7 linked regions of the Oryzias latipes genome follow. The main gene of each other region encodes a partner of the protein of the gene in region 6 in a complex. Links are inferred from orthologs where the notes say so. Each region holds a gene or a part of one and is shown on either strand. Other genes may lie near its edges.

Region 1 (3,970 bases), on a different chromosome or scaffold from region 6:
AACCTGTTTGGAATTTGAATGTGGAAGCAGCCAAAGACTTCAGCGGCAGAGAATTGCGTGGAAATGCTTTTAGCCCCCCCTAGTGGTGAAGTGTCTTTGTTATACTTACACTCCTCTAAACCCAGCTGGTAAGCCAGATTCTGAAGTCCTTTGACTTTTTCCATCAGATTGGCTGTAGTCAGACTTCCCAGCTCTGCAGAGGTATAACATCACACTAAATAAAAGCATTTAGAGATACTTAATTAGCTAAAGAAACATGAATTATTATTTAAAGTCCCACTCGGATTTGATCTTTTGATCTGTTGTAACCCTTGTGCTATCCTAGGCACTTTAACGTTGGGAGTTGGGTCATGTAGACCCACTAGACAGTGCGCTGAACTTTTTTTCTTCAATGATTTATGATCTTCACTGGTGTCCATGGATTACATGAAATCTTTCCACCTTTATCCACCTTTGTCATGGTCGGAAGAACACGTCAATGTAAGGGTGGGGTCATCTAAGATAGCACAAGGGTTAAAAGGCGTTCCCAGAGGTCTTTTAATGAATGATTATGCCGTTTTTTGCCGAGATAGAAAAAAAACACTGTGTGATTTTTAAGGACAGTTAGAGCAGAGCTGCAGTAGATCATCAGTTTATACACTCTACTGCTAGCTTACAGCCACTCACACCCCCAACCTAACCTTAGAAACGAAAATGGCGAGCAATATTGATTAAGAAATAAGAAATTTCAAACAGCATTTTTTCATCTGCTCCTGATTCACAACGATTTGAATAAATAAGAACTCAGAAATGCAATTTCAAGCTTAATTTTCTTTATACGTGTCCTCCATTATCAGATGTCAAGATATCAAATGCCACAAGAACATGTTCAAAACACGGTTTTTCTTATCAGAGTGGGTTTTTAATGTTTTCCCTAAGGTTTATACAGGATAAATGTCAGCTGTCTGAACCAACCTTTCAACATTTCAATGTCCTCACTCTCCAACTCAGCCATCCACTTTGGAGGAGAGGTGGTGATAGGCTGCAATAAAAAGAGAAAAACAACAACATACAAAGTCTCAACTCCAATCAGTCTATGCAGAGTCAATCCTGCATCTTTAGATCAGAGCTAAACTCACATTTTTGCAAGTTGCCGCAAACTCTGCAACTCCAGGCACTGTGTGAGAATTCACATAAAGAATCAATTACAAAGTAATTTTTTATCAGCTGGGCGTGGGAGGATAGAAACTTACACTGCTCTGGCCACAGGTCAGGTGATGCTCTGTCCAGCTTCTCAAAACTCAGCAACGAAATCTCAAAATCCTCCCCTGCAGAAGCACACAGTGGTTCACTTTGACATGTTCTTTAGTTTTTTAAGTTCTATGCTTTTGGAAATCAGTGGTCAACTATAAAATTCAGCCAAATGTTAATTTAAAAAAAATTAAAAAGTAACTTTTTATAAACAGGTCAAAAATTGAAACCTAAAAACAACTTTTGTTTCATGTTTTATCTAGACAGAAAGAGAGGAAAAAATCTAATATTTATCTGGTCTTAAAATTAGGCAGTTTCGAATGAGAATAAATGGTTTTATTCATTTAAGATTCGTACAAACACTGATCAATTAAAATGTTCAAAGAGGTCATAGTCATGTGGTGATCTGATCATCTACTAATAACTCTTACACTGCTGTAAAAATATGTTTGGCCATTTAAACAGAAATGCCTCGTTGATGTGAGAGATCAGAGGAGAATGGCCAGACCGGTTCCAGCTAATAGAAAGGAAACAGGAACTCAAAGAACCACTGGTTTCAACCAAGGTCTGCAGAAGAGCATCTCTGAACAACCCTTGAGGCAGATAGGCTACAGCAGCAGAAGACCACACCTAATGCTGCCATTACTGTCAGCTAAGATCAGGAAACTGAAGCTTTAATTCACACAGGCTCACCAAAACTGGACAATAGAAGATTAGAAAAACATCTGGTCTGAAGAGTCTCCATTCCTGCTGGGACATTCAGATGGTAGCATCAACAACATAAAACCATAGATCCATCCTGCCTTGTATCAACAGTTGAGGCTGCTGGTGGTGGTGGTGTGATGGTATGGGGGATCTTTTCTTGGCACACTTGTTAGAGACACTTTTCTTTCTTATTTGTCTGTATATGTATAAAGGGTTTTCTTTCTTATCAACAATTACTTTTGCTATCAAATCTGAACACTGGTCCTTCACCAATATAGAGAATTGTATCCAAAATTTCAATAACTCTTGACAGAGTGTGAATTACTAACTAATAACATTATTGGTTCTGCAGACTGTTAAACTTTTTAGAATTTGCTTTCAACATTTTTAACACATTAAAAGATACTCATTACGGACATAATACTTAATAGCAGACTGATTCCATTTTCAATCAAAGGAGTCGAACAGTCACACAAAATCTAACAAGCAACCAAAACAGCTACTACTAATTTAAAGTAGAGAAAAATAACTAAGTGCTAAATGTAGCACTGATGCTAATTCGAGCCAAACGGCCAAACGAAGCAACAAGAAGAACAATCTGGACTGCTGCTGTCATCATCAACGGCGGACAATGTCAGTCCCAGAATCAGGAAAAACAAAGGAAGAAAAACAAACCGATTAAACAAGAATTTAGTCCTACGACAAATTTTACGTTACCTCTGGGTGTTCACATTACACTGCGTTATAACTGTTAACGACTTAAATGTCTCGAAACTGTCACATTTGCGATGTATTCAAAGCGTATCGGAGAGAAGAATTAAAATTTACCTCCATTTGGAGACGCCATCTTCAAAATAATCATGTGACATGCAACAACCAATCGCAGCGGCCGCGCTCTGTTTTGAGGTGTGGCGATGTTTTTCAAAATTACGCCGCTAGAGGGCGGCAATGGTGCTCGCGCTGTTTACAAGAGGCACAGAAGATTACTGTTCGTTTTATTCAAAGATTTATATCGTCTTAGAAATTGTAGTACGAACATTACTGTCATAACTTAATGAAAAGACCCTTATTTAAGCCCACCATAGTCTCAATGAAATGTTACAATGCTGGTACATTTTATGGTTTTACCTTAGGGGACATTTAAATCACCTTTTATTCCCTCTAGTTTTTATTTCTGGAAAGAAAAACCATAACTCAATTATTAAACAAGACTTTCACATCCCAGATTTGGAATGTTTTGCATTTAGTTTATATTTTTATAACAACAATTTCTTGCATTTAGTTTACTAGGCCCATGTTTCACAGATTTTACAAGTTTGAACTTAAGTATACATAAAAAAACGGTACAATTTATTATATATATATATATATATATATATATATATATATATATATATATATATATATATATATATATTGAGTTTTCCAATTTTTTGACTTTGCGGCACATCTCGTTTTGTGTTTGTAAATTTTGCAAATATAACAGGACATGAAATACAAGAATAAAACAATTTATTGATCAACATAATAAAAACACAAAATCAAAAGTATAATACTAAAGCTCAGGACAATCTCAACTAAAAATACATGTAAAATGTTCTGGCTTTAAAAAAAACAACAACTACTGTCTCTTTCAAATGGAATTTAGTTTGTCACTAAAGGCAACTTGGTGACAACTCCAGTGCATCTTAAAAGATTCTACAATCTGCTTTCCAAACTGACTGAATTCACATTTTTTCTTACAGAAAGACAAATGAAATGTTTAGACTCAAACTGATGTTTTGAAATTCCCTCGGCTCAAAATGCTCCGTGTCTGTGACATCTTAATCAAACAAGGATAACTAGAAGTCCCAGGAGTCTATCCACTTCAGGCCTGCCATGGCACTGCCCGGCTCATGGGCAAGAGGACCCATCATGCCATAGGACAGAGGATGAAAAAGGTAGAAACTGGAAGGAAGACAAAGATCTACTCAAAATCAACAAATTCTTTATTGCCTTTACATTCCCACCAACTAGATGTAAATATGAGGTCTGC
Region 2 (3,500 bases), on a different chromosome or scaffold from region 6:
GGTAAAAGGACAAAACGGAATCATTTAAGTCCTTTACATCAGCGGCCCCCAACCACCGGTCCGTGGGTCATTTGGTACCGGGCCGCACAGAAAGAATAATTACTTGCATTACTTCCGTTTTATTTATTTTGGAATCTGAAAAATGTTTTCTTTTGAAAGATTGCCCGATTCTCTGTTCCATCCGTCTGTCACTCTTGCTCTCCTTGGTCACCTGACAGGTTACGGCTAAAATAAAACCCAGGAGCTAGCAAAAGGAGTAAAAAACAAACGTCTTTGGAAAGTTTCTTTGCCGAGGGGAAAAGGCCCAGCCAGGAGACAGAAGAGGAGCGTTCCACTCACAAAAAAAGAAAGCTACATTTAATAGACCGTACTTCTTTTTTACACCATGAGTGTGGGAAGGGGAGAGGAGGAGGATGTACAATGTCATGCCTGTCAAAATAAAAGCTCGGGGTTCGTTTCGTCACGCCACTGTTTCTCCTTAATCATCGTCGCGTTGCTCCAATATTCATCCGCCTACATCTTGAAGACCGGGCCGTGAAAACTCTGTGTGACGTCATACCGGTCCGTGGCGATAAAAAGGTGGGGACCGCTGCTTTACATGAGTCTAAATCCAGCTTGAGGAACACAGGATTCCAGTCATCATAACAGGATCACGCTTTTTCCTGTGAGAAGAGTTCTGGTCTTTACCTGAAACTTTCACAGATGCATGCCGATTGAACCACGTCAAAACCACGGGGGAACTACGAATAAACCACGCAAAGAATCAACGCAGAACATGAGCCGTGTGTGATTATTGCGCTGTCCATCATTCATCAGTGATTCATGCATCAATTAGGTAACTTTAACGCGATCTGTGCGCCGTATGCGTGATATAAAACGTATACATCAGTGGCACACGTGTGAAAAGTCAGTCAGACAGATGTGGACACGCGTGCAATGCCACAAATTTGCGCAGGGGTCTCGCACAATTGCGTATAAACGATGTAAAATATGCGTAAACTGCGTCATTCTCAACCGACCGAAAGTTTCAAACAGCTCAAAACGGAATTTGTGTTAAGATTCGTCCGCCGAAACCTTCGCCGACATCTGCGCACATCGACGAATGGTGAACGCAAGGAACACTTATGAATGACGTATATCATACACATCAGACGTCTTTATAAAAGGGGAAATGGGCGATTAGTTTCTGAATGATTTTCCTTTAGTACTGGAAAAACATCTCATTATTGCTTATTTCTCAGCCGCAAGTTTTTGGAAGCTCTTCCTGCTTCAGAGCGTTGGGGTTATTGAAATCTTCTGGTTTTACTCCTGCTGGCAGGTTACCGTGGTTTCCGTGGCCTCTCCCCCCTCCAACTCCTCGCAGAAGTCCGTCGCGCTGCCCGTTAACGTGGCGCTCGGCCAGCAGATCCTCGCCGTCCAGCAGTCCTCCGCTGTTTCTCCGGTCAAAGTGGCCACCAGCCAGCCTGCAGCTCAGGTGAGCGTGGAGCTCGCCTGCAGCCGACGCTCTCCTCAGATCCGCTTTACCTTTTTTTCCTTACCTTTCCACCCAGAACGTCAAACCTGTCCAGTCGGTGACCGTGGGAGGAGTCGGAGGCTCCCAGTTCAAGACCATCATCCCGCTGACCACCCAGCAGAACGTGCAGCAGATTCAGGTTCCAGGAAGCAGGTTTCACTACGTCCGGCTCGTCACGGCGACCACGTCCAGCAGCCCGGGCCAGCCCAGCACCAGCTCCATGCAGACAGGTGAGCAGGCGGGCCGCCGCCGCCGCCGGCCACAAACGGACCGCAAACTCACGGTTCTGGGCGTTCTGCAGGGAAACCCATGGTGGGCAGCACAGGAGTCAGGATGTCGGTCCCTGTCGTTCCAGCTCCAGCCATGAAACAGGTGAGTCCAGCAATGAAGGAAGGAGCACCTCACCTGAGAAACGAACCAATGTGAAAAGGCTGTTCTTTAAAAATGTTTAGTGTTCATACAAAGCAGTTCAAAGGTCAGCAGTCGGATTCAGAAACGTCTTGTCAGGTTGTTCAGTAAATTCCTGTCACTTAATACTGTCAGTTGGAGGGGGGGGCATCAGCTGGTGTTTGAAATTTGTTTGAAGATGAGCTTAAAACCCGAATTGGTGACATAAAACACACCGTTAGCAAATACCTGATGATGCTGCTTCCTCCAGGTGGTGCCGAAACCTCTAACGTCATCGGCACAGGTGGTGGCGACCCCTCAGACGCAGCAGCGCCTCATCATGCCCGCCATCCAGCCCAACCTCACCAACCTGCCGCTGGGCACCGTCCTGGCTCCGGCCCCCGGAGGCGGGAACATGGGCTACGCCGTCCTCCCCGCTCAGTATGTCGCCCAGGTAAGTGCCGCCTGTCTTCAGGTCCGGTCTTCTTGGGCTCTGCGTGTCAAATCGTCTTATTTATTTATTTTTTTTTTTTTTGATGGTCTTTCAGCTCCAGCAGTCTCCGTTCGTGACTCTTGCCAGCAGCTCTGGTTTCCAGGCGTCCAGCGGGATGCAGACTCAGGCCAAACTGCCCCTTAATGGGTAAGGGGGGGGGGGGGGTACGGTGAGCTGCAGACACACAAAAAAGCTGGAGCTCATGATGATTTATGTCGCAGTAAGGCTGAATTCAGACACATTTGGTTCGTCTAAAGTGAACCAGAGTTAGTTTCCCCCCGATAATCCGGATCAAATTTTGAGTTCGAATGCAAACAAGCGGACCCTGGTCCGGGATCAGACACCGCCCTCTGACCCATCTTTCGAGGTGGTCTCGATTCCAACCGGACTCCGGTCTGAACAGGCTCTATACTCGGAGCGGAACATCTGGATTAAAACGGCCACCGTAGCCGGGCATTATGGGAGTAGCGGAGCTACGGCGAGACAGCAACTCATTGAAATGCGGTCGGATGAATTAGTTAAGTTTATTTATTTGAATCAGGACATTGCATATGAATCAATGTTTCAGCAGCTGCTTCAATATAAATATGCTAAAGTTAGCACGGGAGCTAAATCTCATCAGTTGTCCTAAGGCAGGATAAAAGGTTACAGCACAATAGAAAAGCACAATATCGGTGATAAAGATATTTACAAAGGTTAGTTACAATAAAACACAAGTCTATAAAAACCCAAGAAAAACAATATCATCAATGTCTGCAGGACTGGATTGTTTTCAGCCGTTGTTGAAGAGCTTTTTGGAAGGTAGGATAGTTTTCACGGTCTCTGATGTGCTGCGGCAGCGTGTTCAGTAACTGTGTGCCTCTGATTGTCACCACTGTGGCTACATTTAGTACTGCGCTTTTGTACATTACAGTCCCCTCGAGTCATAGCCCTGGTGCCTATTCCAACATTTTCTTTTTTTGACATATAAAATCTAACAAGGGGGGAGGGGCTAGCCCATTCAAAACTTCAAAAATGAGACGGACATCCATGAACATGTTGTAGCGATCAAAATCCATCATGCTATACTTAGAATGTCACAGTAATGATAACGCAGAGGCTTTTTGT
Region 3 (3,066 bases), on a different chromosome or scaffold from region 6:
GCTCCGCTTCGACCTTTCACACCGACAATGACTACATGCACAAGTATCCGGTAGCAACATTCCAGTGTGAACACCATTTGCTAAAAGTATGTTCAAGAATGCGTGTTCTTGAAGAAACGTCACATGTCTGGTGTGAATGTTGCAATAGGAGTTACACCAAAAACACAATATGCTTTATTGGGATTTTGCGCTTTATTCTTTCCAGTTTTTATTTTATTTTCATCAATCCCGTCTCATTTATTCTATTACATTTGAAAAAACTCCAGTAACCCAAATCAATGCTCCCTTAAAGAATCGGGTTGCCTGTCTACGACCCTCCGCAAGCCTGGACATACAGGAGAACCTGTATGGGTGCATGTGACACCACCACGCATGTGATGCGTGTTCATATGGCGGAGTGTCACTACCTGTGACAGACCATGGCCGCCGCCTGTTGTTGGAAGAGACTCGGTGTAAAATGTCGAAAAATGTCAAAAATCTTGTTCCAGGCTATTTTTTCCCCAGCTCTACTCCAATTTCTGAAAGACTTGGTGTGATAGAATTCCGTCCAGAAACAAAAGGCAATTATTAATTTTTCCTTCATGATTGGCACTTCAGTGAATCAAAAGGGACGCCATCCATTCATAACTACCAAATCCTAGTCCCTGATTGGTCAAATTCAACCCGGTTTAACTTTCAACAGGTGTCCACTGAACGCAGAGCCCGAAAACGGTTTTAAAAACGTGTGTAGCGATGCGTGAAAGCGAAGGCACCAAGCGCCCGTTTACATAGCCTTTTCATTGGACGTGGTTGCTTGAACGCGCGTTGCTGGGGGCGTTGTGAACGCAGCTTCAGGCATAAGGTCTGCTGCCGCCGCGCACCCCGACTCCAACAAACCAGGAGGTTCAATGAAATCACATCTACAGAAAACGCTGCAACCAGGCCGACTCACAGAGAGTTTTCTTTCTGAGTGAGCGGCGTCTTGTCGCGCTGCAGTGGCGTGGTGACGATGGCTTTCTGGCTGCACACGGGTGTGGACGTGAGGGAGGGGTTCTCCAGGTCATGAGTGTCCTGCTTGGTCCACATGTTCAGGAACTGGAAAGACGAACTGCGTTAAACGGAGGCACCGAAAATAGACTTTTCTGAGTTTTTTTGTGTTGAGGCCCACCTGAGAGGGAGAGAACGGCAGGTGCTTGACGGGGGTGTTTTTGGGCGTCATGGTGGTGTCGGGAGACAAGGCCACCCGCCTCCGGTGGCGGCAGGTGAGGATGGAGGGCGGCGTGATCCCGCCTGGAGAGATGGGGATGAGCTCTCCTTTGCTGCCTTTGCTCAGCTCCTGCAGAGCGCTGCCCTCCAGGCGGAACTGGTGGCGCTCTGGACTGGGACTGTCCTCTGGAAGGTGGAACTCCGCCAAGTTGCACCACCCGTCCAGATCCTTCAAACAGAAGTTTCCTTGCTTTTGTCCTCTCAAAGGTGGCAATCTCAAGTATTTACAAACAGTTGATCTTACCCCGTCCACCAGGTCCAAAACCTCCTTCAGAGCCGGGCCTGTGGGGGAGAGGAAACCAGAACCATCCACCACCCAGCTGCCACAGCTCATTTCTCCGTCCGTTTTAGGGCTCAGGCTGTCTTTCGGTGAGGGGGCGGCGTTTAGTAGCTTGGTTTCACCCGTGTTCTCTGCAGCGGTTTCCTGCGTCTGCTGCGGAAACATCACGCATCAAGGTGAACTGAACGTAAACCGTGAAGAGTCACGAACGGATTCAATCGGCCGCTCACCGAGGCGCCTTGGGGTTTCTGCTCCTCCTCCGTCTCCAGAGCTTCCTGGGAGAAGCTAGCCGTCGTCTGCGTGAACATGAAACAAAACCTTCAGTTGATTGGAAATGAGTTACCGGAAACAAGCGTTTGAGGAGATCTTCACCCACCGGCACGTCTTTACCGATACGAGCCATCATGTCTTCCAGCTCGTTGGCTCCCCACACCTCGCCGGCGTAGAAGCCCATCTCCAACTTGCGCTTGATGGTGGAGTTCCAGTGGTTCTTCACCGCGTTGTCCGTCCTGTTACCACAAATACCACATGGATACTTGGAAGTTTCCAAACCCAGAAATCTGCAGGGGTTTAGTCAATGTTTTGTCATTCTTTCGACTACCGTAACTCTTCCACCGCTTACGCAATTCGAGACTTTAAAGAGGATTCTGAACATTCAAGTTATAAATGGGCCAATCAGGTGCCTCAATAAAAATGTGCACGTCAAACGTTTGACAGATTTTGTGTCGCCAGCTTCAGAGTGGTAGGGGCGTGAAGTAGGGCTGCACTGCAACTTTCAATTTATGAAATTAGTGATCAACACAATACGACTCGAGTTACATGAACAAACAGCCAAAGAAAAACCAATTACTATTTCACTGCAACTCTTTGTTAAAAACAAAAAAAAAAAGTCAACATAACTTAATTTAGACTCCAAATGACCCACGGGCTCCACCTGATTGGCCAAATGCGCATTGGATTCGTTAAATACTTTAAGCTGCCATGAGGTTGTTTCATCGAATGTAAAGGTAACGATTTAGTCTTTTGCAACACTCGTCTCGCACAGGCTGATATTGTGATGGCGATACATTTGTGTAGGCCTAGCGGGGACTTCCAACGAGCTCGCTCCTGATTGGCGAGAGCGGCTGACTCAGACTAATCACTCCTCATTGGCGACGTCTGATTCCAACATGGCGGCCTTGGTATTGTAAAAAACTGGTGACTGAATTGACCTCATTTCGCTGGAACCAGTAAGCCATTTTCTGTGGGTGACATCACGCTCACTCAGTCCAGTTCTCAAATACAGACAATTTTTCTGAAGCGGAGAAAAGCAGCTTGGAGCTGTTATGCAACACTTTACGTTAGTATAGTAATCCACCGATTCAGGTTGAGCGCATAAATAGTCAAAGTGTTACGGTACGCCCAAGAATGTGTGTTATTAAGGTGTCGGCGTGGACATCTGCAGGGCTAAAGGGTTAAGAACCTTCCAGGGAGGAGCTTGGCGATTTCAGCCCAGCGGTTTCCCAGCAGGCAGTGAGCCTTGTAGATGATCAGGTCCTCCT
Region 4 (4,199 bases), on a different chromosome or scaffold from region 6:
CATAAAAACTAAGCAACACTTTGTTGTTTAGTGGCAAAGGTAGCATAACCCTTTACGCTGTGACTGATTCCAGTGAACTCACAGTGACGGATCCATCATGTGTGACAGCAGAATCGTGGTCGTCTGTCCAGGGATAGTAAGATCATGCAGATGATAATAAACATACACTATTATGAAAATAACTGTTTGATTATCGGGTACAAAGGTAAGAGATAAAATGTACCTTTATGTAATGTTTTAGTTTGTTTTCCACAGGGAGATGATGAGTGGAACATCCACCACAAAGGTTCCTGCTCTTCTCCAGAGACAGGAGTCACTGGCTGGCGCTGTTTCCGACTCTGAGGTAGACCATGTCGAAAACGTTCTATGTATCTTCAAAAAGCAAAGGTTAATGATTTGTCGAGCAACGTTAAAAGACTAAATATGAAATGAGATTGTGATGAAACCAGACAGCACGGCACGCACTTAGCCAGCACAGAATCTTCCTGAACTCCTGAGGAATCTTTGGAAGCCTCAGACCTCAGAGGCTGATCTCTTTCCTCCATATCAGGAGTGATGCTACCAAGACGAGATGCGTGTTCAGGGGACTGCCAAGACTCAGCAGCCACAGATTGTCCACCAGTAGAAGAAACATGGCGATCATGTTTCTTAAACAGTTTCTGATTTTTCTGAGCACATGATTGTAATTTTACACCGGATCTCCTGCTTGTGCAACCAGGACTGCGCGTCTGTAAGAAGTACAAGAAGTATGAAGTAATAGTTAGAATCGACTTGACAACAAAGATGTTAATGAAGTTATCTTTAATACTAACACTTTTGTTCTTTGTCTTTGACAGAAGTTGCTTGCTGGATGATTGCTTGTGTGCCCTTCTTTCCATGGATGGTGGCAGATGAAATTTCTGCCCTGTGAGAACAGCATCAACACAATTTTTTTAATAAAAATGATTAAGCAATAGTAAAACGCATAAAATAAGTTGTATGTTTATTATTTTTACTTCTAATTTTCTGACCCCTCCTCTCTAGTCTAATTTAAACTGTACTTTTCTGCTCATTTGGTGGATGATAAAAAAATCCTGACCTGTGGATTTGCACATCCACACCACAACATCAAGCAACACATTGACCCATAACAAACACGTACAACAACAATGACACAGATTTACAAGACCAAAAGTTAAGATTTTGTGAAGAAAAGAAAAACCTACCTAGTTGGCTTTTTGATTAAAGTACACCTAACAAGATGGATGAAACCAGAAAAGCTGTAGCGTTTGAGTTGTTTACGGCAAAGAACACAGCTTGTGGAAATTGACCAATCAGGGGCTGAGTTTTGAATAATGGACAGAACAGTTGTCCAATAATAGTAAGATTCTGCTCACAAAGCATCCAATCAGATCATAGAGTCTACAGCGCGCGGAAGAGAAAACCTTGACAGGGATACTTCTGGGTAAAAAAAAACGCAGTTAGCAACGGTTGTTTGGCCACTAGCTTACCCACAACACTACTTGACCACATCGAACAGAGCGTGAACAGTGTAATATTGTTGTTACATAGATGTAGTTGGTAGGGTAAAATGTTTCTCTTCGTGTCAATTTAATAATTAAATACATGTAGATAAAAAAATTGTGGCGTAATTTTAAGAGTTTGGGGTGAGGCTAACGCAAAGGTTAGCTAACTTAACTGAAAGCAGGAGCGCAGCTAGTTTCGGTGCATATTTAATTGTTTTAAAACAAATTAAACTGTGACTACCTGTAGTTACTGATCTACTACGCAGATCTGTTTTTACCCCCTGGGAAATATTGTTTGACACCATGCACCACGTCAAGATCAAGTCGGAAAGGCCAGGTAAGAGAGAGCAGGGCTATTTTCACGAACTGTTGTTTTATTTAATTAGACACCTTTAGTTAAAAGAGCTTCACAGAGACACCGAAAGGCTCTGGCAGTAAAAAAAAAAGAAGTCAAATAATTTACATTGTAATGTGTAGGGGTAATAACAAACTAGTTAAGCACATTATTATTATATGTATAAAAATAATATAACATTTGGTTTATAATAAATGAAACGTTTAAAAAAAATTAAGCGCAGTTAATTATTTAATTGTGATTTGTGTAATAATTTCTCCTAACCCCTTAAAAACGTCTATTTAGGAATTGGTTGATCCATTGGTTTAGTTCAAGCATTGATTGTAGACAATACAGAAAAGGAAATCACACAGTTTTATCAAACAGAAATAATGAAATGCACTGATTAAAAAAAATGTAAGAAGAAAGTTATAGTAATTACTCATAATCCAGAATCGATTTTTCTGCAATGATGCAGAGAATACACATTTAGGTCACATCAGATTCATTCCATATGATTACCAACTAAAGTCAAGTTTTAATTTTTAATTGAAAAGGAGTAGGAAGACATTTGTATGATCCCACCCCTAGTGAGTTATTTCATTACAAATTTTTGCATCGTTGTCATAATCCAGTTTTGATCCAATCGTTCCTTGTAAATGTAAAATTATGGTACGGTATAGCTTAATAAATTGTGTGTAAATATTGTTAAGGAACCACTAGATTCCATATAGTACTTTGTATCTTCAAAAAAGTCCGATTTCTTTTTTATTTACCATCCAAAATATTTAAGATTTTGGGAACTTCATAGCTAAATTAATTGCACATATCTTTTAATGGTAATAATTTTATGGTTATCCATGTTTTCTGTTATAATTTTTGTAACTGTTTCTATTACAGAGCTGGAGGAAAGCGGTGCACGCAGCAGACTGGATGCTGTGCTGAAAGGACTTGTAGAGAAGAGTGAACATGAGAAGTTAGTGAGATTGTGATGCTTTTTCATAATTCTTTTTATATTCTGTTTTACTGTGAAGCACTTTGTGATTTTTATCTTGAAAGGGGCTATACAAATAAAGTTTATTATTATTATTATCATCATAATGATCGCTCATCACTGTCTAAAATTGTCGTTATGCTTTAAACAGGGATCCAAACGAAAATGATCCTGGGAAAATATCTGTGGATTCTTTAAACAAGTAAGCTCAGTAAATTTTTCTTTTGTTCTGTTTAATTATAAGTGAGGAGGAATTGATATCAGAATCAGAATCTTTTATTATCATTCTGCAGAGCACAATGAAATTTTTTCCAGCAACTCTCGATATAAAAAGGTAGAATAAAATAAAATAAGAATAAGGAGCTATATAAGGCATAAATACTTAAATACTGTACAGTAGAGTGGGGTGAATATTGCACGAGTGGGTATTCCACATTAGAATGGATATTGCACATACAGCATGAATATTGCACACAGTTTAAAATAGAGATATATATTCTAATATACTGCATAAAGCTGTAGTATACAGTATATTATACAGTATACTGCAGCTTTGTACAGTACAGTACATTACAATATACTGTATAAAGCTGCAGTGAATTCAGCTGTTACTTTGATGCTTTTTGAGTATTTTAAATAATGATCAAATGAATTTCTTGTTTTGAGATAACATCCTTTCTGCCCTTTTTAGGGATTTGTCTCCATCATCTGCTGGAAAAAGGTAAGTCTCTGTATTCAGAACGTGGGTTAATAATGTCTTTTATACTTTTTTATGTCCTGTACTGTTCCTAAACATTTTTTTTACAGAAAAGCGACTATTTGAAACAGTTAACATGAATTGTATTTATTGTTTTGATGTGGTATTTTATTTTTATTTTTTTCAGACAATCAACTCGATTTCCACAACACCGTAGAAAGAAAAGGAAAGAGATGGAAGAGGGAATACCAGAGACTAATCAGCATAAACAAAGTAAATTTGACTCTGACTTTTGCTTTTTATTGTGTGCAAGCTTTTCATTTACAGCAGTTTTTCAATTGTTAAGAAGCGTTTCTATTTGATCTGCTTTGCTCCTAGATGCCTACATCATTAAGCTGTTTGATCGCAGCGTCGATTTGGCTCAGTTTAACACCAGCACCCCGTTGTATCCGATCTGCCGTGCCTGGATGAAAAACAATCCTTCTGTTCGAGAGTCTGTAGCCTCCCCCGGCTCCCCGCCCGGCATGACAGAGGAAGAGGTGGGGCTGTCCAACATGTCCAACAAGGGCAATATGAATCTGTATTTACAGGGAAAATTTACCAATCTCTTTGTAATTCAACATCACAATATCATAAAGAGCATTCTTTATCTTTGTTCGTAAAGCAGCA
Region 5 (4,011 bases), on a different chromosome or scaffold from region 6:
AAGTCAGTTGGAAAGAAAAAGAAAAAAAATGTGTGCACGTGCGTGGAGTGTTTTATCTGCGAGGTGCAGCGCAGCTTAGAGTATCAGCAGACACTATATCAACCCAGTCACACAAGAAGGAAATGATCAGGAAGACAGACTCAAAAAGAGAAGAAGCAGAACTCTTCATACATAATGTAATGCCTGAATGGTCAAAATGACAGTTAAGAAAATAACAAAACAGAATCAGTGTGTTGTAATTTAAATGATTTTAGACTCAAGTGTCTCTCTTCTATGACTGTTATAGAAAAATATGTACATTAGGGGGGAAACAATCAATCCACTTATTTGATAAATTGATTTATATTACTACGATCCAACCAAATAAATCTGTCTGAGGCAAGTTGCTGATCCAAGCGACCTATACCATTAAAAAAAAATCCTTTCAAAATGTAATAAATTAGTTATATTGGAAAATACCATTTGGATTGAGGCACGTTAGGTTTATTTACTATAATGTAAAATCGACCATCACAGCAGACAACACACAAGTGATATCAGCAAAAACTGATCAACCGTCATTCCAGTCCAGTTTGTGGAAAAACTTTGAATTTAGCAAAGACATGGTCCCATCCAGTGGGCTAGAATGTTCTAAGAATGTTACATTTTTTAGGGTGTATTGATCCTTTTGAACAATTCGGTTAATATAATAATTTGTGGTTGACAATACGATTTATAGTAGATATTTGTTCATTTTGAACGATCCGATTCACTGACCTAAAATAGATCCAGGACATTTTTAGCCAAAACATCAATCAGTGGGACTCAGAGAGAAATACCTGGTACTGAACAGCACAGCGGAGGTTTTCCAGATTCCTTGCAAAATAACCAAGCGTAAATTAAATAAGTGTACAAACACACAAACAAGAATGAATGGCAAATCTAGACACAATAAATCACTAATTTATCGTTATCATGATATGATATATCATGCAAAAGTCTGCAAAAATTGCAATAAATCGTAACCTTAAGAGTGCTAAAACAATCTCATAGCAGCTTGAAGTATTTAATGAATCAAATAAATTCATTTAAACATTTGACCAATCAGATGGAGCCTTTCACGTGGTTGACCAATGGGATGGAGCTCTTTTATGTTGGCCTCCTATGTAGACGAGGGGCAACTCTTATTTAAATTAAAACTGTTGCAGTGAAATGGAAATTATGGTTTTGATCGTTTTGCTATTTGTTCATGTATCGCAAGTTATATCCTCATCGCAATGTTTATCACTAATATCGCATACCGCGAGTTTTCCTCATTATATCGTGCAGCCCTAGTCAAATCCATTCACATTTTTGGTTTCATCAAGTTGCGACATATGACCACACTGTATGGTCAAAAATTATGTTTCCACACATCGAGCCGTAATGATGGTTGGTCATGCTTTGCTGCCGTCACATGCGTGTTGTCTACTGTGATGCACTCGGTTATTTTTACAGTTATGGTCAAATAAACCTTCAGAACCTCAATCCAAATGGTGTTTTCCTATATCCATATAATTGATTTATTTCATTTTGAAAGGATTTTATAATAATAAAACACGTTGACTCAATTAACAACTTGCTTCAGGTCAATCTGGTTGGATCGCAGCAATATAAATCGATTTACTGATTATTCGTAACAACCCTATCTATGGCAAAAGTGGGCTGAACTTTGACACTAAAATGGGAATTACTTGTTTGTTTGTTAAGCCATTTTATTTACATTTACAAGAAATACAAGTGACACTGTTCAGTACCCATTTATTTATCTCTGAGTCCCACTGATTGATGTTTTGGCTAAAGATGTCCCGGACTATAAATCATGTCGTGAAGCACAAATTATAAAGTGGATCAAATTGTTCAAATAAATCGTAACACCCCTAATGTAAAAATATGAAAAGTGCAAACGTTATATATTTTTTTGTATTTGTAGAAAACTATTTGAGCTTTTACATCAAACAATGTGGGACTTTAGCAGAATCCCAATAGTAAACATTCCTGCATTAAAGCTAGTGATGGAAATGTGGAAATGTGGCCCCTGTACTGTGAAAAACAAAGCTAGCCTAATTTAATCAACATCTGTGCGAGTACTACTTCACGCTTTGAGTCATTTCTGAAAAGCAACATTATAAACGCATGTCGTTCGTGGACAAAGACGCAATCAATCATAAAACAAACTTGCTCAAGTGTGAAGGTGCAGTGGCTTTAACTGAGAGTAGAATGACAAAAGCTGACCCACTTTCTAAACTTTGAATCTGCAGGGGGGCAGAGAGTCGAAAAAAGTTGACCGGTGTTCTTGAAATTCACTTCGTTTCTTCACTCAGAAAGGCAAAAATCTGCACCATAAAATATTAAATGTGATTTTAATTGTAAAAGTGGTGAACTAAAACAACAAACTTAGAAGGCAAAGCTATCTTTCATTCAAATTAGCCTGTCACACAGCTAAGCTAGGCTAGCATGCTAGCTAGATACCATGTAACTTAACGACTGCGGGCTGGCTCAAAGTGACATGTGCTAGCTAACAACAAAGAGCTCACAGCTTTCAGATCCAGGACTCCGTCCTTCGCCTCTTGTAATAAAGTGACGAACTTCGTCGTGAGCAAGCCCAGGCTCTTCTCGTGCCTGCTCGGCGTCTGCGGTTGCAGCGAGTCTCCCACGGTTCCCGGGTCGCCTCTGTTACTGGCCGTCTCCAGCTCCATCATTGCTCCGGATCAGCTCCGTACTTCCCCTCTTCTCTTGCCTGCTTTCCGACTAAATCCAGCCAGCGAGCCCAAGAAAGAAAGCTCCACCGCCGCAGTTCGAAACACACACGCGTGGATGGTGTGGTGCAAATTTACGAGTCAATACTAGCTGCTTTTCTGAAAATAACTGAGCAAAATCGAGCTGAAGCAGCGAGTATGGAAATTCAATGAAGGAGCAGTCGGTGGAGAGCCGTTGGCCACGCGAGGTATGACGGGACGGTGCTTTCGTTTTAGGGACCGTGTGCAAATGTTCATGAAAAAATAAAACCACGTAAAAAATACATTTGCTAGCACGAACATGTATTTCTAGTGATTTATTTTTAATGTAACATTGAAAAAAGTATGAAAAAAGACGGTTAGTAGTTTTTCTATTGCGATTTTAGGGGAAGTATTGGTTGCAAGAATTTTTGGTAGAGGAGAAAGTTTAACTCGAACTCTTAGCAACTTAAACTTGAAGAAAACGCACTTCCACGCGCGCACACGCAGGCACCGTTCTTCAAATGAATATTTGAAAATTATTTTCCCCTCTAAAGCTTTTCTTCCAAACCACATTGTCATTGACTGAAACATTTTCAAGGTTGCAAAGCAGTGCGAATTAGTGTACTGTGTAAACATTGGTTTGTAAATTAAATATTTTGAATTTAACTATTTGAGTTCAGTATTGCATCCTAACGACTTTATTTTTTTTAACCACAAAAATGTTACCACATAATTTAAGTTTAAAAGTTATTATAGGGGTGTAACGATTAATCGACTTAATCAGTGAAACAATTTTATATTTCTACATATTTTCTAGGGCAGTTGTTAATCTATTATCTATTCAAACTATTATAAAATCTTTTCAAAATTAAATAAATCGAAAATGTCAAGATTGGAAAATAGCATTTGGAGACATGGTAGGTTTATTTTACCGTAACATAAAAGCGACCAAGTGCATCACAGCAGACAACACATATGTGGTGGCAGCCAAAAAATAAAAAAGAATGTTACAGTCCAATGTGTGGAAACACTTTGAATTGTGTAAAGACATGTGGTCATGTGTTACAACTTTATGAAACCAAAATTTGAATGGATTTTCTTTTAATTTTTGTTTACTTGTTTATGTGTACACATCAACTCTACACTTGCCAGAAGTATCAGAGTACCAGAGTCACACTGGTTTAAAAGTTTTGGCTAAAAATGTCCTGGCTGGATTTTAGGTCAGTGATTGAACTGGATCGTTCAAAATGAACCAATATTGGCTATTAATTGT
Region 6 (3,091 bases):
TTTGTTCCTCCAAGGCGATTGGCTCATAAGAGGATCATTGTCCTGGGAGAAAATACATACATGTAGAGAAATGAGGCAGATTTCACAAGCGATTGACATGAAAAACCAACAAAATTAAGATTTGCATGTAACATGTTAAAGAAAACATTCAGGTACCAAGTTATAAAAGAGAACTGTAAAAAGATTTCACCATCACTGAGTTTAATTTTATCTATAGGCTTCATAAATTGAACAAAACGATTCTGAAGGCACATTTCAGGCAGCAGACAGAAATGTTTACAGTTCGCATGTAAATATGAAATGGCAGCCCATTATTGTTGGATTAGACTGATGTTACGGTTACCATGTGGACAGGTGTCGTGACGGACGGATACGTCGCTCTGGGCGGAGTCATGACGTTCTGCATGTACCGCGCTGACCGGTGTTTCTGAGCGAAAGCCGAGATGGGCATGGTTTCATTGGGTTCGTTGCTCTGGAAAAACAAATCGTTAGATTAGGAAAACGAGCTTCAGAGTTCCTGCTGCCGGTTGTTTTGGTGAAACCATTTATTTACACATTTACCAAAACTTCGTAATCAGGCACGGTGTGAGTTCCCAGGCCAGTGCGGTCGAAGGTGACACGATAGGTGGCCGCGCTTGTGTCGACTGCATCAATCTGCCCCGTGAACAAGCCATCGTGGTTGCCTCGGAGTCGAGCTGGAAAAAGTGAGCAGGATTAGCGTTCCAACAACACATCATCAGTATGACGGTCTAATCCCAGCTCACATTCAACATACAACATCCTACATACAAACTAAAGTTTCAAAAAGAAATTAAATCATAAATAAATCTAAATATAAATTAGAATACAACAGTAGATATTTGTTATAATGCTTCTTAATACTAACATATTTCACCTACTGTATAGAAATGTGGTGTAATAATTATAAGAGTTCACTACATCCTCTCTTTTTACTTCAAAAACGAGCCATCAGTATTGTACATAAAGCCGGCTATGTATCTATCATACAAACAATTTATTTGATCAATCTAGACTTGCACTAAACTTTGGAATGAGCTCAAACAATGTTCAAATATCCAAATATTCCAGAAAATCTATAAAGAAACTCTGATTTCAGGATATAAAGATAAGAGGAGTTAAGGATCAACAGGTGTTTGAATAATTACAAATACATTTGTGAACTTGATTGTGGTGAAATAATCAAAGCTCTTTTAATTACAACCAATGGGTATTAAATAGTAATGTGCAATAATGATTACTAAAATGTTTTAAATTACAGTCAATAAGTTATAGATTTTCTTTACTTGATCTGCAACGTGTAGCAATAATTACTGGTTTATTGTGATCATGTGTTCTAATGATAATCAATGATTACATATTGATTACCTAAAGTGTAAATCATTACTGTTTACTGAAAAGATGTAGTTCTTTCTGAGGATAATCAATAAGCACTCGATTTTGTAAATAACTTGATCTGCAATGTGTAGCAATGATATCTGGATTTATTAAAATTGTGTTCTGGTTATAATCAATGAGTATTACATTGGTTACATGGTGCGTGATTCACATTACTGTTTACTAAAATCATAAATGAATGTTTTCTGCAGATAATCATCAATAAGCACTTGATTATATTACTTGAAAAGAATCTATCGGATCATAACCGGATTACGAAAAACTATGTAAAACGAAAAATGAAATAACTCCGAAGGGGTGGGATTATATATACTTGCTTCTTCCCACTCCTTTATAAGCAATAAATCAAGCTCTACTTATACTTTAGTTAATGATCACAATAGTTAACTAAGCAAATATGACTTAAGTGTGTCTTTGTGTTTGTTTTTAATCTATGCATTTCATCATTTCTGTAATGAGTTTGATGAATCTTTGTGACTTTTTTTATTGTATTGACTGCAATTAATGTTTGAAATAAAAATAAATCAAATCAAATTAAAAGTAAATAAACATGTTCAGACATTCTTGTGTTTGTCTGGAACAACCTTTTCTTCGTTTCTAACTTTCAATCTTGATCCCAACCTGAGTACTTGTTTCTTTGTAGTTTAGTCATTACTTTTAAGCTTGACATGTTTTAACTCTTGCATTTGTCGAGACCTGCTGGAAGTTCACATAAAGTCATTTATTGCCCGTCGCTCCCAGCATTTACTGAGGGTTTATACTCATTATAGTGATCTCACCGGTGACTTTGGTTCCTATGATAAGAGGCAAAGGGATTTCTTCAGGAAGATCTTTGCAGTTTGACAAATCGGACAGTTTTCTCTGCTGCAGAAGACGCATTTTCTGCCGCTTCTGTCTCAGCGCTGTTCTCTCCTCAGCAAAAAATGCTGAAGAACACCTGAAACAGACATGAGGGAACATCTGTTTTTCTTTACACATCATGTTTATGAGGAATTTACCAAAAAATAAAATAGAATGTGATAAACTCAAGACTAAAGAAAAATCCTCTATGAAATATTTTTTTTGATGTAGCAAAAGAAATGTTTTCAAATAACATCCACAGTTTCTGGCTCTGCTGTTGTTTTCATTTTACGTAGTTTTAAATATGTCCTAATCACTTTTTGTCCTCAACTTTTCACAATAAAACATGATTTGGAATTTGAAATAAATAAAATTCAATTGTGTTTTACCTTCGAGGTTTCCCCATCAGTCGTCGGATTGTTCCCCACTCAACTCGCGTCAGTTTTCTTGTTTTCAAATTGGGGAACGACTCTTTGAGGCACAGACAAAACTCATTGTCACCCTCAAAAAGAGGTCTAAAGGTGGAAAAGAGGAAAGGAAATAATACGAAAAGAGTTGGTCAAAAAAAAGGAAGAATTAGTCAAAAAGTTTCAACCAGTAGTCTGGTGGGGGGAAAGTGAGATTTACCGGTCTATGTTGGAATAGAACCACTCATAAATGCACCACTTGTGAGCTTTGGGAAGTTTAAGGAGGTTTCTTAGTCTCAGCCCTATTTTCTGGGATGCCTTTTTGTCTGGTGTGACAACATTTGAAAATTTCTGAAACAAAATAGAAATTAAAAAATATTATTTTAAACATTTGCTAAAAAAAAAAAAAAAAGCACTTAAATTTGATG
Region 7 (4,275 bases), on a different chromosome or scaffold from region 6:
ACTGTTTTCCAATCCTTCCCTGGAGGTGCTTTGCAATCACTGACCAGCGCTTCGGCCCATATTTGCGCACCAAATCGATAACCTGAACAAATCAAATTAAAAGTAGCTTAGAGCAAATTGACTTGTGATCCTTAATCTTAATGATAATAATAATGCATTGGTTAAAAAGCATAGAGAACAGCAGCAGCAGAACTTGTTGAAACGTTTTTCTCAGAGCAGAAAAATGTTGTGAAGTCATAGTTGGCTGACTGCACTTCTATTTATAAAGTATGATGTCAGAAATATAAAGCATGAAGACGGACAAACTAAGCTACAGTTGAGGAGTGTAATGCTCATACAAACACACATTCAACTCTAAAACTACAGAATGTCTGTTTTGGTGTATTACACACACAAACTAATAGAAAAAGAACGAGGATAAAGTTAGCACATTTGCAAAACCATGTTAGATTGAAGCTAAAAGTTGCATTGCTTTTTGTGTCACCCGTGTTTCCTCCTGTACCCTCCCCAGGGTTTTCTTCTTTCCCCCTATCATTTTTCTCCTCAGTCATCTGTCCAAAAGAGACACTCCCAGCTCTTCTTACCTTTTGATCTTCTTCTTTTGTCCAGGGTCCTTTCACCAGCTCTGGATTGAGCACCTTCTGCCAGCGGTGCTGACACTGACCATCTGTCCGCCCCTGAGTCACAGGAACACAGAGTGCAACACTTCATCCCACCGCAGGACCGGCTACAACCGTTCTTGATGGAACCGTAACCAGGTGGACTCAATACTTACAGGGAAAAAAGTAGCTACTAGTTTCCATGCCTCAGTTCCGTGTTGCTCCACGAGTTTTTTCAGCTTTTCATCCTTTAATTATGAGTTTAAAAAGAAAAAACTGATAATTCCACGCTTTCAGCAAACATTTTCACAGTGTGCTTTCATTTAGCAGGTGCATAAATAAAAAATATGGTTAGAAATGTCTTCCAAAGATGCATAAGTTTCACCTTTTTTTGGTTTCTATAATAAACATACCTCTTCTCGTGACCACTTTATTTTGCCCAGTCTTTTTTTATCATTGCTTTTTTCTTTACTCTCTGGATCTGTGGACACCAGCTCTTCATCCTCATCAGTACTGAAAACACAACAGGAAAAGGGGAAAAGAACCATAATCATGTTATTATTCTCTGTTCTAATACCTATTGTTTCCTCCTAACCCATTCTTAACATGTAGACCTAAATATGAAAAGTAGCTGTGAAAGTTAACAACTTTAGCTAAAAGAAAATTTATCATAAGCAACAACAAAAAAAATGTTTTACTTCCATTTGGAGTTTTGAAATTTATAAACCAAAACCTGGCAGCAGGAAAAGATCATTGGAGGATGGATTAGGGTTAACCTTAACCTTGATAAACATCTTAATGAAATTAGGCCTACCAATTAAAGGTTCATAAATAATTTAAACATATCATGGGAAAAGCAAATGTGCAAGTATTTCCTAAAATTCAATATTGAATAAGTTATTTTCTTAACACATAAGAACCCAGATCTATTTTCCTTGAAAGAAAATGATGCAATATTTAATGTTTTGCTGTTACAGTGAGGTAGTTCTACAAAACAGAACTAACACATGTTCTAAAGAGCTGAAACGTGCCACCCACAAATATACTAAGCAGTTGTTTTCCGTCTTTTTAGTGTCAGAAAGTCCATGAATGTCTGTTCTTTACTGTGCAAACGTGTCATTATAAACCTAAGTCTGGCCAAACTTCTTCACTGGGGCGACTGTGTGTAAAAACAGAAGGGAGGGGTGTAAGGTGACAAGCGGAAAGGGGCAATCTCACATCAACAGACTCTTTCACTAGCAAAGTGCATTAGTGTGTGTGTTTTTAGGTGTGATGATGTGGCCGCAAAAGCCCACATACATATTTTTTTTCATTGAATTCAATTGAATAGCAATAAAAACTCAATGAAAAATTAATTTGCATGATATAGAAATGCATTTAGAACTACAGTATAACCTTTATGTCGCACGTGAAGGTTACCGAAATTAATTAAATTAAAATTAAATTTAAAAAGTGAAAAGAAAATGTAATATTTTGGCATAACACTACATGTGAATTAACTATATTTTTTATCTTAAAATATGCCGCCATAATAGTGTCAGTGTTGTTACAGAAACTTTTTTATTAGACTGTAATCGTTTATTTTTATAAACAAACGCTAAAATGTTAAATAATGTCAGTATATTCATTTATTTTTAATTTCTATTAAGTATAGAAACAGGAGAAAGGTAGTCGACGAGCTTTGTGACGTTTGAGTATTAATCAGTCTTACCTGCGTGATTTCACTTTGTCCATAACAGCCGACAGCAGAACCGAAAGTTCTCGAAGACAACCCTGTGTTTGGCAGTTCTGTGGAATAATCGCGCGTGAACAGGTGTCTCTCCATAAAACTGCTTTTTGGTCATGAACGACGTCTTCTGAGATGCGGCGACTTGGCGTTTCGGCTAACCAGCTAGCTAACTCCACGCAGAAGAACTCATAACATTACCCAGAACAGGCAGCTGTCCATGAAGATATCATCTCTAATGAAACGCAAACCAACGGTCGCTCTTTATCATATGGGCGCCTCTTACAGATCACGTTTGAAACGCTAGAAACCAATAGTATGCCGACGGGTGTAAATAAAATTCTTGAATAAATTGTCACTGCTACCGCACCTTCCGCTCATAATGTGGGGCTTCTGTACGTCTGCATGGCGTTATAGAGTTGGGTTGGTTTTTTTTGTCCATCCCGCCGATTCTGGCGCTCAGCTCTCTGCGCAGGCGGCTTCGTTCCTGATTGGTCAGAATTAGGGCCGTGTAACACGAGGACTGATACTCAAAACTGATTGGTCCAAATGAGGACGACGAATCTACGGCTGAATGGTCTAAAAGTCCGCAAGGTTTTTTTCAGTGGTCAACGTTCTAAAAGGCGGGTGCTTAAGGTGACAGTGACAGAATAAGCATATTCGGTGTGGGAACACAGTTTACACAACTTCTAGTGATGATAAATATGGTCTGCATTGATGTAATAATAATAATAATAATAATAATAATAATAATAATAATAATAATAATAATAATAATAATAATAATGAGTTTCCACAAATATACCTGAAACCAAATTGCTTGAAACAATTTGGCTTACGGTTTATAATTAAAACATAAATATGAATAAAACATGAAAAACTGTTACATCCATTACATCTCTTCAAGCTGACATTCAGTCTAAACACGTCATCTTACTGCCACCTTGTGGACACAACGTCCATCTGCAGTTGTGTGATGGTTTCCATCACACAACTGCATTTTTTCCCACATTAAAAAAGGTTTTCCTATTCACACCCTGATCTTTATCCTAAAAATTTGCAGAAATATCAAAAAACAGAGGGGAAAAAAGTCTAAACTTCTAGGAGTGGTTTGTCTTTGGGTGACACGTGTAGTGTTAAATTAACCCGTTTTTATTACAAACTAATATATGGAGGGAAAAGCTGATATTAGAAAATGGTGATGTTTACTTAAAAGCCTGTAGATGACTGTTTCACTTGTTGATGCAAGAGTGTTGTCATTGTAAAAAAAAATGCACGGAGCCGGAAGTTGATTACCTTACAAAAATAAGAGCACAAGAAACTTTTGAACTTAGAATGAATAAATGTGTCCGTCACTTTGATTCCAAAATCTACTAAACAACTTAGAACTCTACAATTATTATAAACCTATTTTAGTCAAACATATGCTATTAATTTAAATGACAATGTTATCTTTTAGCAGGATATTGATTTTTAGTTTTAGGATCCAGGTATTATTGAGAGGGAAGAGATAATGTGTTCAAGCTGCATGTTGCAAAAAAATTAAAGATTAAATAAATTATTTATTTGATACAGAGATTGTGACAAGGAAAACAAATTTAACAGGTGGCCAAAAATAATCTCAAATACACGAGAAACATATCCAACCACATCTCCAAAAACTACATGTTAAAACCAGTCTGTGTGGGTTAATCCGGTTAGTTATAGATAAATAAATTTTTTTTGTAATGCACTATGGCTACAGTTTGCAAACCTATTTACACATGGTTTGAAAGAATCTGGAGGTAAACAAGATGGCACAGGTATTTAAACTTAAATTTTGTAATGAAGGTCAGATATGGTCCTGGAAAGTCTCAGGCACATTTCAAGTCTTCATCTAAAAAAAATCTCTGTGAACATCTGAGATTCTAATTTTTTGTGAACAAAGAAATGTGTAAAAGCTTTAGTTTT

The links.
Region 1: the proteins of lin9 (region 6) and lin52 are in contact, whole or in part, in a crystal structure (PDB 6C48), measured with the Homo sapiens proteins. The link is inferred for Oryzias latipes from reciprocal best matches to the Homo sapiens genes LIN9 and LIN52. Residues at the interface, in NP_001353174.1 of Homo sapiens: Leu335, Gly336, Phe338, Phe342, Leu343, Ile344, Val346, Thr347, Leu349, Ser350, Lys351, Leu353, Met354, Lys356, Lys357, Ile360, Leu363, Arg364, Asn367, Thr368, Ala370, Glu371, Lys374, Ile382, Phe384, Gln385, Tyr388, Ala389, Val392, Leu395; in NP_001019845.2 of Homo sapiens: Asp61, Met64, Leu65, Leu68, Gly69, Leu71, Thr72, Thr73, Leu76, Met77, Val80, Leu83, Gln84, Leu86, Ala87, Leu90, Asp93, Glu94, Glu97, Met98, Arg100, Gly101, Leu104, Asn105, Ile106, Leu107, Glu108, Pro110.
Region 2: lin9 (region 6) and lin54 share a complex: the UniProt entries of both Homo sapiens proteins name them as parts of the DREAM complex. The link is inferred for Oryzias latipes from reciprocal best matches to the Homo sapiens genes LIN9 and LIN54.
Region 3: the proteins of lin9 (region 6) and mybl2 are in contact, whole or in part, in a crystal structure (PDB 6C48), measured with the Homo sapiens proteins. The link is inferred for Oryzias latipes from reciprocal best matches to the Homo sapiens genes LIN9 and MYBL2. Residues at the interface, in NP_001353174.1 of Homo sapiens: Lys356, Gln385, Arg386, Tyr388, Ala389, Thr390, Val392, Leu393, Leu395, Glu396, Asn399, Leu402, Asn403, Leu406; in NP_002457.1 of Homo sapiens: Trp663, Ala667, Cys668, Gly669, Gln674, Met677, Gln678, Ala681, Arg682, Leu684, Leu685, Arg687.
Region 4: the proteins of lin9 (region 6) and lin37 are in contact, whole or in part, in a crystal structure (PDB 7N40), measured with the Homo sapiens proteins. The link is inferred for Oryzias latipes from reciprocal best matches to the Homo sapiens genes LIN9 and LIN37. Residues at the interface, in NP_001353174.1 of Homo sapiens: Lys99, Ala101, Ser102, Gln103, Lys104, Ile105, Gly106, Arg108, Leu109, Arg110, Leu112, Leu113, Lys114, His119, Trp121, Cys122, Ile123, Glu125, Trp126, Phe127, Thr227, Leu237, Phe238, Leu272, Ser273, Asn274; in NP_061977.1 of Homo sapiens: Tyr95, Ile97, Leu99, Phe100, Asp101, Arg102, Val104, Leu106, Ala107, Phe109, Ser110, Glu111, Asn112, Thr113, Pro114, Leu115, Tyr116, Ile118, Cys119, Arg120, Trp122, Met123, Asn125.
Region 5: lin9 (region 6) and e2f4 share a complex: the UniProt entries of both Homo sapiens proteins name them as parts of the DREAM complex. The link is inferred for Oryzias latipes from reciprocal best matches to the Homo sapiens genes LIN9 and E2F4.
Region 7: lin9 (region 6) and mybl1 share a complex: the UniProt entries of both Homo sapiens proteins name them as parts of the DREAM complex. The link is inferred for Oryzias latipes from reciprocal best matches to the Homo sapiens genes LIN9 and MYBL1.

What each region holds. Positions count from the first base shown.
Region 1 is NC_019880.2:13,721,382-13,725,351, reverse strand, and holds the start of lin52 (protein lin-52 homolog), read right to left. Parts: upstream 2,801-3,970; 5' UTR 2,798-2,800; coding exon 2,764-2,797; intron 2,713-2,763; exon of another isoform or gene 2,653-2,712; intron 1,978-2,652; coding exon 1,924-1,977; intron 1,308-1,923; coding exon 1,233-1,307; intron 1,157-1,232; coding exon 1,119-1,156; intron 1,022-1,118; coding exon 955-1,021; intron 194-954; coding exon 110-193; intron 1-109. Other genes in the region: pomt2 (protein O-mannosyl-transferase 2), read right to left, coding at 3,777-3,882.
Region 2 is NC_019870.2:2,875,781-2,879,280, reverse strand, and holds part of lin54 (protein lin-54 homolog), read left to right. Parts: intron 1-1,318; coding exon 1,319-1,474; intron 1,475-1,550; coding exon 1,551-1,743; intron 1,744-1,814; coding exon 1,815-1,885; intron 1,886-2,171; coding exon 2,172-2,354; intron 2,355-2,448; coding exon 2,449-2,540; intron 2,541-3,500. UniProt on the Homo sapiens protein: Component of the DREAM complex, a multiprotein complex that can both act as a transcription activator or repressor depending on the context. In G0 phase, the complex binds to more than 800 promoters and is required for repression of E2F target genes.
Region 3 is NC_019863.2:23,220,275-23,223,340, forward strand, and holds part of mybl2 (myb-related protein B), read right to left. Parts: coding exon 2,988-3,066; intron 2,035-2,987; coding exon 1,902-2,034; intron 1,822-1,901; coding exon 1,756-1,821; intron 1,679-1,755; coding exon 1,490-1,678; intron 1,415-1,489; coding exon 1,148-1,414; intron 1,075-1,147; coding exon 932-1,074; intron 1-931. UniProt on the Homo sapiens protein: Transcription factor involved in the regulation of cell survival, proliferation, and differentiation. Transactivates the expression of the CLU gene.
Region 4 is NC_019874.2:15,177,520-15,181,718, reverse strand, and holds the start of lin37 (protein lin-37 homolog), read left to right. Parts: upstream 1-1,399; 5' UTR 1,400-1,444; intron 1,445-1,771; 5' UTR 1,772-1,808; coding exon 1,809-1,842; intron 1,843-2,739; coding exon 2,740-2,815; intron 2,816-2,984; coding exon 2,985-3,035; intron 3,036-3,524; coding exon 3,525-3,554; intron 3,555-3,717; coding exon 3,718-3,803; intron 3,804-3,908; coding exon 3,909-4,069; intron 4,070-4,199. Other genes in the region: proser3 (proline and serine-rich protein 3), read right to left, coding at 83-123, 224-372, 466-728, 813-878.
Region 5 is NC_019864.2:28,153,448-28,157,458, forward strand, and holds the start of e2f4 (transcription factor E2F4), read right to left. Parts: upstream 2,801-4,011; 5' UTR 2,721-2,800; coding exon 2,556-2,720; intron 1-2,555. UniProt on the Homo sapiens protein: Transcription activator that binds DNA cooperatively with DP proteins through the E2 recognition site, 5'-TTTC[CG]CGC-3' found in the promoter region of a number of genes whose products are involved in cell cycle regulation or in DNA replication.
Region 6 is NC_019882.2:7,720,829-7,723,919, reverse strand, and holds part of lin9 (protein lin-9 homolog), read right to left. Parts: intron 3,015-3,091; coding exon 2,884-3,014; intron 2,772-2,883; coding exon 2,646-2,771; intron 2,354-2,645; coding exon 2,196-2,353; intron 696-2,195; coding exon 562-695; intron 473-561; coding exon 344-472; intron 43-343; coding exon 1-42. UniProt on the Homo sapiens protein: Acts as a tumor suppressor. Inhibits DNA synthesis. Its ability to inhibit oncogenic transformation is mediated through its association with RB1. Plays a role in the expression of genes required for the G1/S transition.
Region 7 is NC_019878.2:17,044,996-17,049,270, reverse strand, and holds the start of mybl1 (myb-related protein A), read right to left. Parts: upstream 2,801-4,275; 5' UTR 2,768-2,800; coding exon 2,696-2,767; intron 2,388-2,695; coding exon 2,311-2,387; intron 1,113-2,310; coding exon 1,013-1,112; intron 848-1,012; coding exon 776-847; intron 678-775; coding exon 585-677; intron 83-584; coding exon 1-82. UniProt on the Homo sapiens protein: Transcription factor that specifically recognizes the sequence 5'-YAAC[GT]G-3'.